2 linked regions of the Cricetulus griseus genome follow. The protein of the gene in region 1 binds, or shares a complex with, the protein of each later gene. Links are inferred from orthologs where the notes say so. Each region holds a gene or a part of one and is shown on either strand. Other genes may lie near its edges.

The links.
Region 2: Hbs1l (region 1) and Pelo share a complex: the UniProt entries of both Homo sapiens proteins name them as parts of the pelota-HBS1L complex. The link is inferred for Cricetulus griseus from reciprocal best matches to the Homo sapiens genes HBS1L and PELO.

Annotation. Positions count from the first base shown.
Region 1 is NC_048595.1:268,535,049-268,539,317, reverse strand, and holds the start of Hbs1l (HBS1-like protein), read left to right. Parts: upstream 1-1,208; 5' UTR 1,209-1,345; coding exon 1,346-1,388; intron 1,389-3,977; coding exon 3,978-4,043; intron 4,044-4,269. UniProt on the Homo sapiens protein: GTPase component of the Pelota-HBS1L complex, a complex that recognizes stalled ribosomes and triggers the No-Go Decay (NGD) pathway.
Region 2 is NC_048595.1:332,904,897-332,908,911, reverse strand, and holds Pelo (protein pelota homolog), read left to right. Parts: upstream 1-1,418; 5' UTR 1,419-1,660; coding exon 1,661-2,386; intron 2,387-2,661; coding exon 2,662-3,093; 3' UTR 3,094-3,257; downstream 3,258-4,015. UniProt on the Homo sapiens protein: Component of the Pelota-HBS1L complex, a complex that recognizes stalled ribosomes and triggers the No-Go Decay (NGD) pathway.

The sequences.
Region 1 (4,269 bases):
CACCTACCAAGTACTGAGATTAAAGGAATTGAACCACCATATCCAGCACATTTAATATTTTTCAGCACCTTAATGTTCTGTGTTAAGTTTCCTTACATGGGCAAATATAGTTTAACAACTTTACAAATTAGATAATATATGAGTAAGATAATATCTTCACTTACAAAGAGATAGGCTGCAATGTAGAAATTATTTAAAGGTGTAAAATAAAACACTTAAAAACCGTATAAAATTAGCATCTACATTTTTTTGCATAAAATTTTGCCTTGGAGCCATTAAACAATGATAGTTAAGAATAACCATTAAGTAGTCAGAATTCAAACCTGAGCCATTTACGAATATGAATTTGTGTTTTCTCATTATCTGGATAAGAAAAGCTGAGTAAGGTAGAATTTGACATTTGCCTTTGATACAAGGTCTTGGCATTCAAAAACAAGCTACAACAAAGAGGTTGTTCGGTATGATAATGAGGTTGATGCTTTTACACAGCATTATTAGCCCTATGTTTTACAAAACGAGGATGTTTAATAACAGGTTATAGATTTATGTATTATGTAATACATCATGAGTACCCAAGGCTAATGCTGTGTCTGAAAAGCTTGTACTAAACGCTCTTAGCAAGTTCACATGTTTATGTATTCAATCAATGCCCAAGGCATAATCTCTTAATTATTCCGTGTTAATGAAAATAGTTTACATAGCTAAGGCCAGACAGTTGTTTACCAGAGCTGTTAAGGGAGGATGGAGCCCATATCTGAAGCCATGAATTACCCACAAAGCATAGTGACCCAGTGTAGCTGTATTTTAATTACTTGTTTAGAAACTTTTTCTCCCTCTAAAGCTTGGACTAATTATTATGCCACATTTACACACTATTGTGGACGGATATCGTTTGTATCTACAGTCTAAAAGCTGAAACAGAATCCTTGGTCCTTGCTCTTATTGAGCCAAATTGGCAGCTTCCCAAAGGATCAAAAGCCAAATATGGAAAATAATCCTGAACGCCGGTGGTCAAAGATGCCTGCATGTCACGTTCACTGTCAAGCAACAGCGTGGAGGTAGCTGAAAGAATTTCCGGCACTGAAATCCACGTCAGTCAACTGGCTTCTGGGCGCCGCCCGCCGGCTCGCGAGTGCGCGTGCGTCCTCGGGAGGCCGGCTGTGACCCTGAGAGCTTGCCGTCGCGTAGTGCGCAGGTATGACGTCGCGTCTGCGCAGACGCTTGGCGCAGCGGCCTGGCGGAAGCCAAGATGGCGCGGAAGAGGTCTCTAGCTCGCGGTTGGCGCTTTATCCGTGTCTAAGCCGAGTTCTTTGAGAGGACCGTGGCTGACGCCCTGTGTGCCGCGATGGCTCGGCATCGGAACGTCCGAGGCTATAACTACGATGAAGGTGAGTGGCAGGGCCGCGCCGGGCCGTCATCTTAGCTGTAACAGCTGGGTTCCTGGCCTCATTATCTCCGCCTGGATTGGAATGACCCCGGAGCCACACTAGAACTGGGGTTTGTGTCGAGGAGGGGAGAAGGTGGGGGAAAGGATTAGGACATCAGTTCCCAGGGAAGAGAGAGAGAGTGATGGCTGCCTTCTGGGTTGACCTTATTTACGGACGGGTGACAGTGTGGCATCTCAAGGGCCTACGATGTTTGGTGGCGACGTTGGGATCCGATGCTCTTTGGTATCTAAACGTTGCCTCTTTTCTTATTGTTTCATTTGGGGACTCACGCGCCAGTTTCTAACTTTTGTCTCATAAGCCCTCCTTCACACGTGCCCACGAGGCATTACTTACTTATAAAACAGGCTGGCTTAGTGCTTGCATTCGACCGACCTGCTAAAACTATTAGATTTATATAATATCTTGCCTGTGTTCGTGCGTTTTGACTGCATAACCTCGCTTGACCTGAATTTTCAGCGAATTTCAAAATTCGGAACCTAAGAAATGGAAAAGATTCACGTTTAAAAGGCTCAAGAAGTTAAGTCGTTTTGCTGATCTTCAAGTGTATACTCAGTATATTGACTGCTATACTTGATGTAAATGTATTTTAAAATGGAAATATAAAGCAACACTAGAGGGGAGAGCGTGTAAATAGACTCACTGATGTTTTTAATGAAAAAAATACATATATTAATGTATGTAAGGAGTTAAAAGTGATTTTAGGAAGACTTGTTATACATGAGTGGATAATAACAGGTATTTATCAAGCATCATAGAAGCTAAAAATAAAAACAAATGTGATTAAAGACCTACTGCTTTCGGGAACATGTAATGTTGAAGTCGGATGTTATTGACACCCCTGGGAGATTGTGAGCATCAGTGTACTTAGGCATGGACAGCTAACACCCAGTGCTGCATTTGAAGACTTGGACCCAGTAGGTCAGGGATGTCTTACTTTGCAGACGTTCACCGTCAGAATATTGTAGTGGATATCTAAAAAATGCCTTCCACTCCACTCCCACTGAGAAATGACTTTAGACTGGGAGAGATTTTGTAGATATGAAATAAAGGACACCCATCCCTTTTGTATTTTATTTCCTCATCCAGTGATAACTGAGTACTTGGAGTACTGCGTAAGATACTCCTTAAGTAAGGACTGTCTAAAGGGAGCAGCTGGTTAAAACAAGAGAGATTCCACACAATGTAATGACAGTGCTGTGGGAGCAATGTAAAAGAAAACGTCTAAATCAGAAAGGGTCAGGATTTCTTCGTGAAGTATTTGACAAGAGTTATATGTCCTCTGAGTCAGTGCTAAATACCTTTTATCTTGGCTACCAGAGGTCAAGTTATATTTCTTTGTAACAATTGGTGACATCATAACCAAGCCTGCCCTGTCCTGTCATGGATGTTTTTTGCCCTTCCTGCTTACGAAAGTGTAAATCATTTTCAGTGTCTAGTCTTCTTCCCAGTTAAGCTTCCCTTTGGGGTTTCAATAATTAAAAATTCATAAAAGTATTTTAATTTCATTAGTCTGAGGTCTAAAATCTATTGGTTCCTCTTTGGTCTTAGCCTTTAAGCATGCTGTACCTGTTTCTTGAATGCCCTAGAAAGATGGCTGACTCTCTCTTTTGGAATTGGTTTGAGTATTCTATTCTTGGGGAAATTCTAGTTTTCACATGTGTGTTCCCAGATTGCTCTGTATTTTTCACGGTGAGCACTTGTCATACAGTTTTGTAGTCACCCTGTTCTGGGCTATTAGACTTTTGGAGTTGACAGAGCTGGAGATGTACACACTTTGTACTGAAAATGTCTCTGTAATAGTCTCTGGTATAAATTTATGTTCCTTGCAGGGTTTTTAATAGTTTGTCTCATTAACTGGTGAACACATTAATTTAGTGCCGCATGTATGCCAGGTACTTGGTTAAACTAAGTTTTTCCTGTAATTTCTCATGCATTGAAACATGAGTTGTGCTTTGAAGACAATAAATTAAGAGGAGGCTGCTGAAGGTAAAGGTTGTAAGGAAGACTATTGGAGCCTTACCTAGAGAAAGAAGCAACCTTGGGAAAATCTCAACCAAGAACATACTCCATTAAGACTGACTTACTCCACTTACAAGCTCCATTTTAAGACTTAACAGTCACGAAAGTCAGGCTTTCTGGTTCTCCATGAAGAGTGACTTTATGGCTGGATTGTATACCCTATAAAGATATTTGCCTAGAGTGCAATGGGTGGCTTACCTCAGGTTTTGTGAAGTTAGACAATTCACATATATCATCTACAGGATTATTACTGGATTTTGGTCACATGAAAGATGTGAGAAAATTAAATAAAGCCCAATTAGCTTAAAAACAGAAGGCCTATGTATGTTTTAAAAGTATACATTGTCAGTAATTTAGATTGTTATTAGTAAATATCTTGGAATTTATGGAAAAGTAGACATTTAGGTTTCTTGAAAGTTGGTATTTTCTTATTTTGTAAATTATTCAGGTGTTTGCTCATGAATAAAGAAGACATGATTGAACTTGTAATGAATCTATTTTGTGTTTTAGATTTTGAAGATGATGATTTGTATGGCCAGTCTGTGGAGGACGATTATTGTATTTCACCATCAACAGGTAAGTTATTAAAAAAAAAAAAAAAGATTTCTTTGATTTGACTGTTTAAAAAAGGTTAAGTAAATATGAATGTCATCTTGGACTAAAGTCATTAAGACTATAATGGGTAATTTTTAGAGAGATAGGCAGCTGGGCAGTGATGACACACACCCTTATTCCCAGCACTTGGAAGGCAGAGGCAGGCAGATCTCTAGTCTACATAGTGAATTCCAGGACAGCCAGGGAT
Region 2 (4,015 bases), about 64 Mb from region 1:
CAGCCAGGCCTCTTAACCGAAGTAAAATCTTTCTCAAAAATAACAATGATTACCTAGACTTGGTAGAAACAGGCTGGTTCCCAGAGTGTGGAGAGTGAACTGGTAAAGGCGTCAGCTAAAGGAGATGGCAGGGGATAACAGCTCGTAACTTGCATTTGCACAGATGATTAGAAGACAGATGAGTGGTTTCTGGAACAGTGTGTAGTTCATCAGTCCTGAATCTGAATGCCACTTACATGCTCTTGAACACATTCATCAGCTTTCTCAGAATTTCATTTTACTTTTCTACAAATTAGGGTAGCATTTTCTTTATAAGAAAAGAAAGAGTGGGAAAGTGTTTTTGAAATTTCCAAAAGTTGATTGTACTCCAATGAAGACCTTTCATTCATTAAGAGCCTATGCAGCACCTTCTTGATCCTTAAAATACTTAAAACACAGTGAGAGTATGAGTGAGCTCAAGACTTCTCTGCTTCCCACTGTCTACAGACTCAAGAAAGAGGCATTCCTATATTCCCATCGCCATGGTGAAAAAAAAGGGTGTGTGTGTGTAAGGTTTTTCTTTTTCTTTACAACCAATTCTATGGCTCTTCTTTGGAGGGCGGTCATAGTTAGTAGATCAGTTTATCTTAATTTACCATAGCCTCAGCTTTTGGCCAGTTATTGGCAGGGAGAATCAGCGCTAATCTATTGCAGGCCAGCTCCCACACTGAGCGCCTCAGAGACTACTGAGCCTTGGAGAGCTGACTGCCAATTTTGGATTCTGGGATTCCCAGGACATCAGGTCAAGCCACCCAGAGGTCCACCAGGGGTACATTCCACGCATAGCTTCTGCTCTCTCTGGGTTCTGTCCTTTAACATCTGGGTTAACTGGGTAGTCCAAACAGGGTAACGTCGCAGAAAACAGTTGGGCATGTTGCTGAGCCCAGGCCGAACGTGACTAGTCCTTAGAAACTGCTTCTGGGAATCCCAGTGCCAACAAGCGCGCGTCACGTCTGAGTGCGGGGAAGGAATGAGCAAGACCAGGCAGAGTTTGGACTTCGGGGACTAAGTCTGCACTGCACTTTCGTGGGCTCTTTTCACTTTTACATAAGTTTGGAAGCTGGCTCCACATCAGGGAAGGAAGTGCAAAGTGGCAAACTCAGTTTAGATACTTACGTTAGCACTCACACACTCCGCAGTTCCTCGTACACAGGGAGGCGTGGGAAAACTCAGCCACCCGGAGTTCGGCTTTAATTCTCAAGAGTGGCGGCCAGAGCCGTTTAGCACCTCCCTTGACTTTCAGCTAGGCTGCGTCTTTCCTGTTACTGCGCTTGCGTGCGCGCGTAAGCGATAGGGCCCGCCTCTCCGGTAGGGACGACAGACATGCGCCGGGAGGCGGGCTGCGCATGCGCGATCGCCGCGTCAGCCACTTGCGCGGGGCCGGTGACTGAAAGTGCCGGCTTGTGTGTGCTCAGCGTGGGGTCTGCCGCGCAGCGTGGATCTGCGCGCCGAGGCTCAGAAAAGCGTCGGGGGAAAGCCTGTCCCGGGCTGGCAGGAGTTAGAGGTAGTGTTTCTCTCCTGTCCCCTTCCCAGCCTAGGACCCCACCCCCACCCGCGCCTCTGTGTCTCTTGCGGACCCCCCTCGGCGCCTTCTGTTTTGAAGTGAGCCCCTGGCGAGGTCATGAAGCTTGTGAGGAAGAACATCGAGAAGGACAATGCGGGCCAGGTCACCCTCATCCCCGAGGAGCCCGAGGACATGTGGCACACCTACAATCTGGTGCAGGTGGGCGACAGCCTGCGCGCCTCCACCATCCGCAAGGTCCAGACCGAGTCCTCCACGGGCAGCGTCGGGAGCAACCGCGTCCGCACCACCCTCACTCTTTGCGTGGAGGCCATCGACTTTGACTCTCAAGCCTGCCAGCTGCGAGTTAAGGGGACCAATATCCAAGAGAATGAGTATGTCAAGATGGGAGCTTACCACACCATCGAACTGGAGCCCAACCGCCAGTTCACCCTGGCCAAGAAACAGTGGGACAGTGTGGTTCTGGAGCGCATCGAGCAGGCTTGTGACCCAGCGTGGAGCGCTGATGTGGCAGCTGTGGTCATGCAGGAGGGCCTCGCCCACGTCTGCTTAGTGACACCCAGTATGACCCTCACCCGTGCCAAGGTGGAGGTGAACATACCCAGGAAACGGAAAGGCAACTGCTCCCAGCATGACAAGGCCCTGGAGAGATTCTATGAACAGGTGGTCCAGGCCATCCAGCGCCACATCAACTTTGATGTTGTAAAGTGCGTTCTGGTGGCCAGCCCAGGGTTTGTTCGAGAGCAGTTCTGCGACTACATGTTTCAGCAAGCGGTGAAGACTGACAACAAAGTGCTCCTGGAAAACCGGTCCAAATTCCTTCAGGTAAAAACTCTTACCCAGAGAAATTCAGGAGTGGGCAGAGGGATTGGTGTGAATGGTTCGTAATGTTTTAGAGTAGTAGAAGGCTAAAACTCAATTTAACTGGGATTATAAATGAATCAGTAAAGAGAACGGTGTAGGTCTACCACATTTATAAGGTAACCTTTGCAGAAGTCCTTAAATAGATAAGGCCTTATTCATGCTTTTGTCTTACGCCATTGTGGGCTGATTAACGGATACTTTCAAAGATTCTTTGTCTTTTATAATTGTGATTCTAGGTACACGCCTCCTCTGGACACAAGTACTCCCTGAAAGAGGCCCTTTGTGACCCTACTGTAGCTAGCCGCCTTTCAGACACGAAAGCTGCTGGAGAAGTAAAAGCCTTGGATGACTTCTATAAAATGTTACAGCACGAACCTGACCGAGCCTTCTATGGACTCAAGCAGGTGGAGAGGGCCAACGAAGCCTTGGCGATCGACACATTGCTCATCAGTGATGAGCTCTTCCGGCATCAGGATGTGGCCACCCGGAGCCGGTATGTCAGGCTGGTGGACAGCGTGAAAGATAACGCAGGCACGGTTCGGATATTCTCTAGTCTCCATGTGTCTGGGGAACAGCTTGGCCAGTTGACGGGAGTTGCTGCCATTCTTCGATTCCCAGTGCCGGAACTTTCTGACCAAGAGGATGATTCCAGTTCTGATGAGGATTAAGACTGACATTTAATAGTTACTTCTTCTCAGTGTCCCTTGACAGGTGCAAAAGCTGCACTTGTTGATCATGCTGGGATTTCTGGTGTGTTGGTCACACTAGTGTTTTATAGTTGGCAGGACATGTATTCAAATTAAATAAATCAAAAGAAAAGAATGTCCCAGCATTATGGTTTCTAATTGGAGTTATTTTTTCTAAATACCTGAAAACAGCAATTTGAGTATCTAAGGGGGAAAAGAGTCTGCTGTTTGGGCTTGATCATTAAAGCCCATGTACCTGTTTTAATAGGTTTTCCTTGTAAAAATCTTTAATCTCTCATGAAGTTTATTTTCACTCTGCATGGTGTTTTTGCATTTCATTTAATTATGCATTTTCTCACCTCTTTCTAATTTTTGTTTTTTCAGGATTTGGCTACATTTACTAAAGTGTAATTAAAACCAAGCCTAAAATGTTATTTTCTTTTAGAGATTTGCTAAACTAGTCGATTTTAAAACACTCTTGTTGCTCTTTGTTGCTCTAATCATACTTTCTGTAGACAGTTATTTTCAGGCAGTAGAGGTCTGATCTACTAGGGATTCTCAGCACAGTCTCTGGACTTTAAAAATGAGATGAAAGCCTGTGGTTTGCTTACTGTGTATCGAGGAGTGGCAAATCTGGACATTTCTCCACTCTGGACTTCTGTTCTTTATACTGAAGCACAGCCGCGTTCTTTGGTTCTCTGTGTTACTTAGTATGACTTGGCCAGTGTTATACTTTGCCACAGTGCCTATGGTATTAGTCTGTGCTCTCACATTCTTACTGGGTTATGTTACCTGTGAAGAAATCATACTCAGGGAGTTGGGTAACTCAGATGACTATTGGGAAGTTGTAGTCTAGGACTCCTAATTGTAGACAAGGAATTTGTACAAATGACCATTCAGCCTA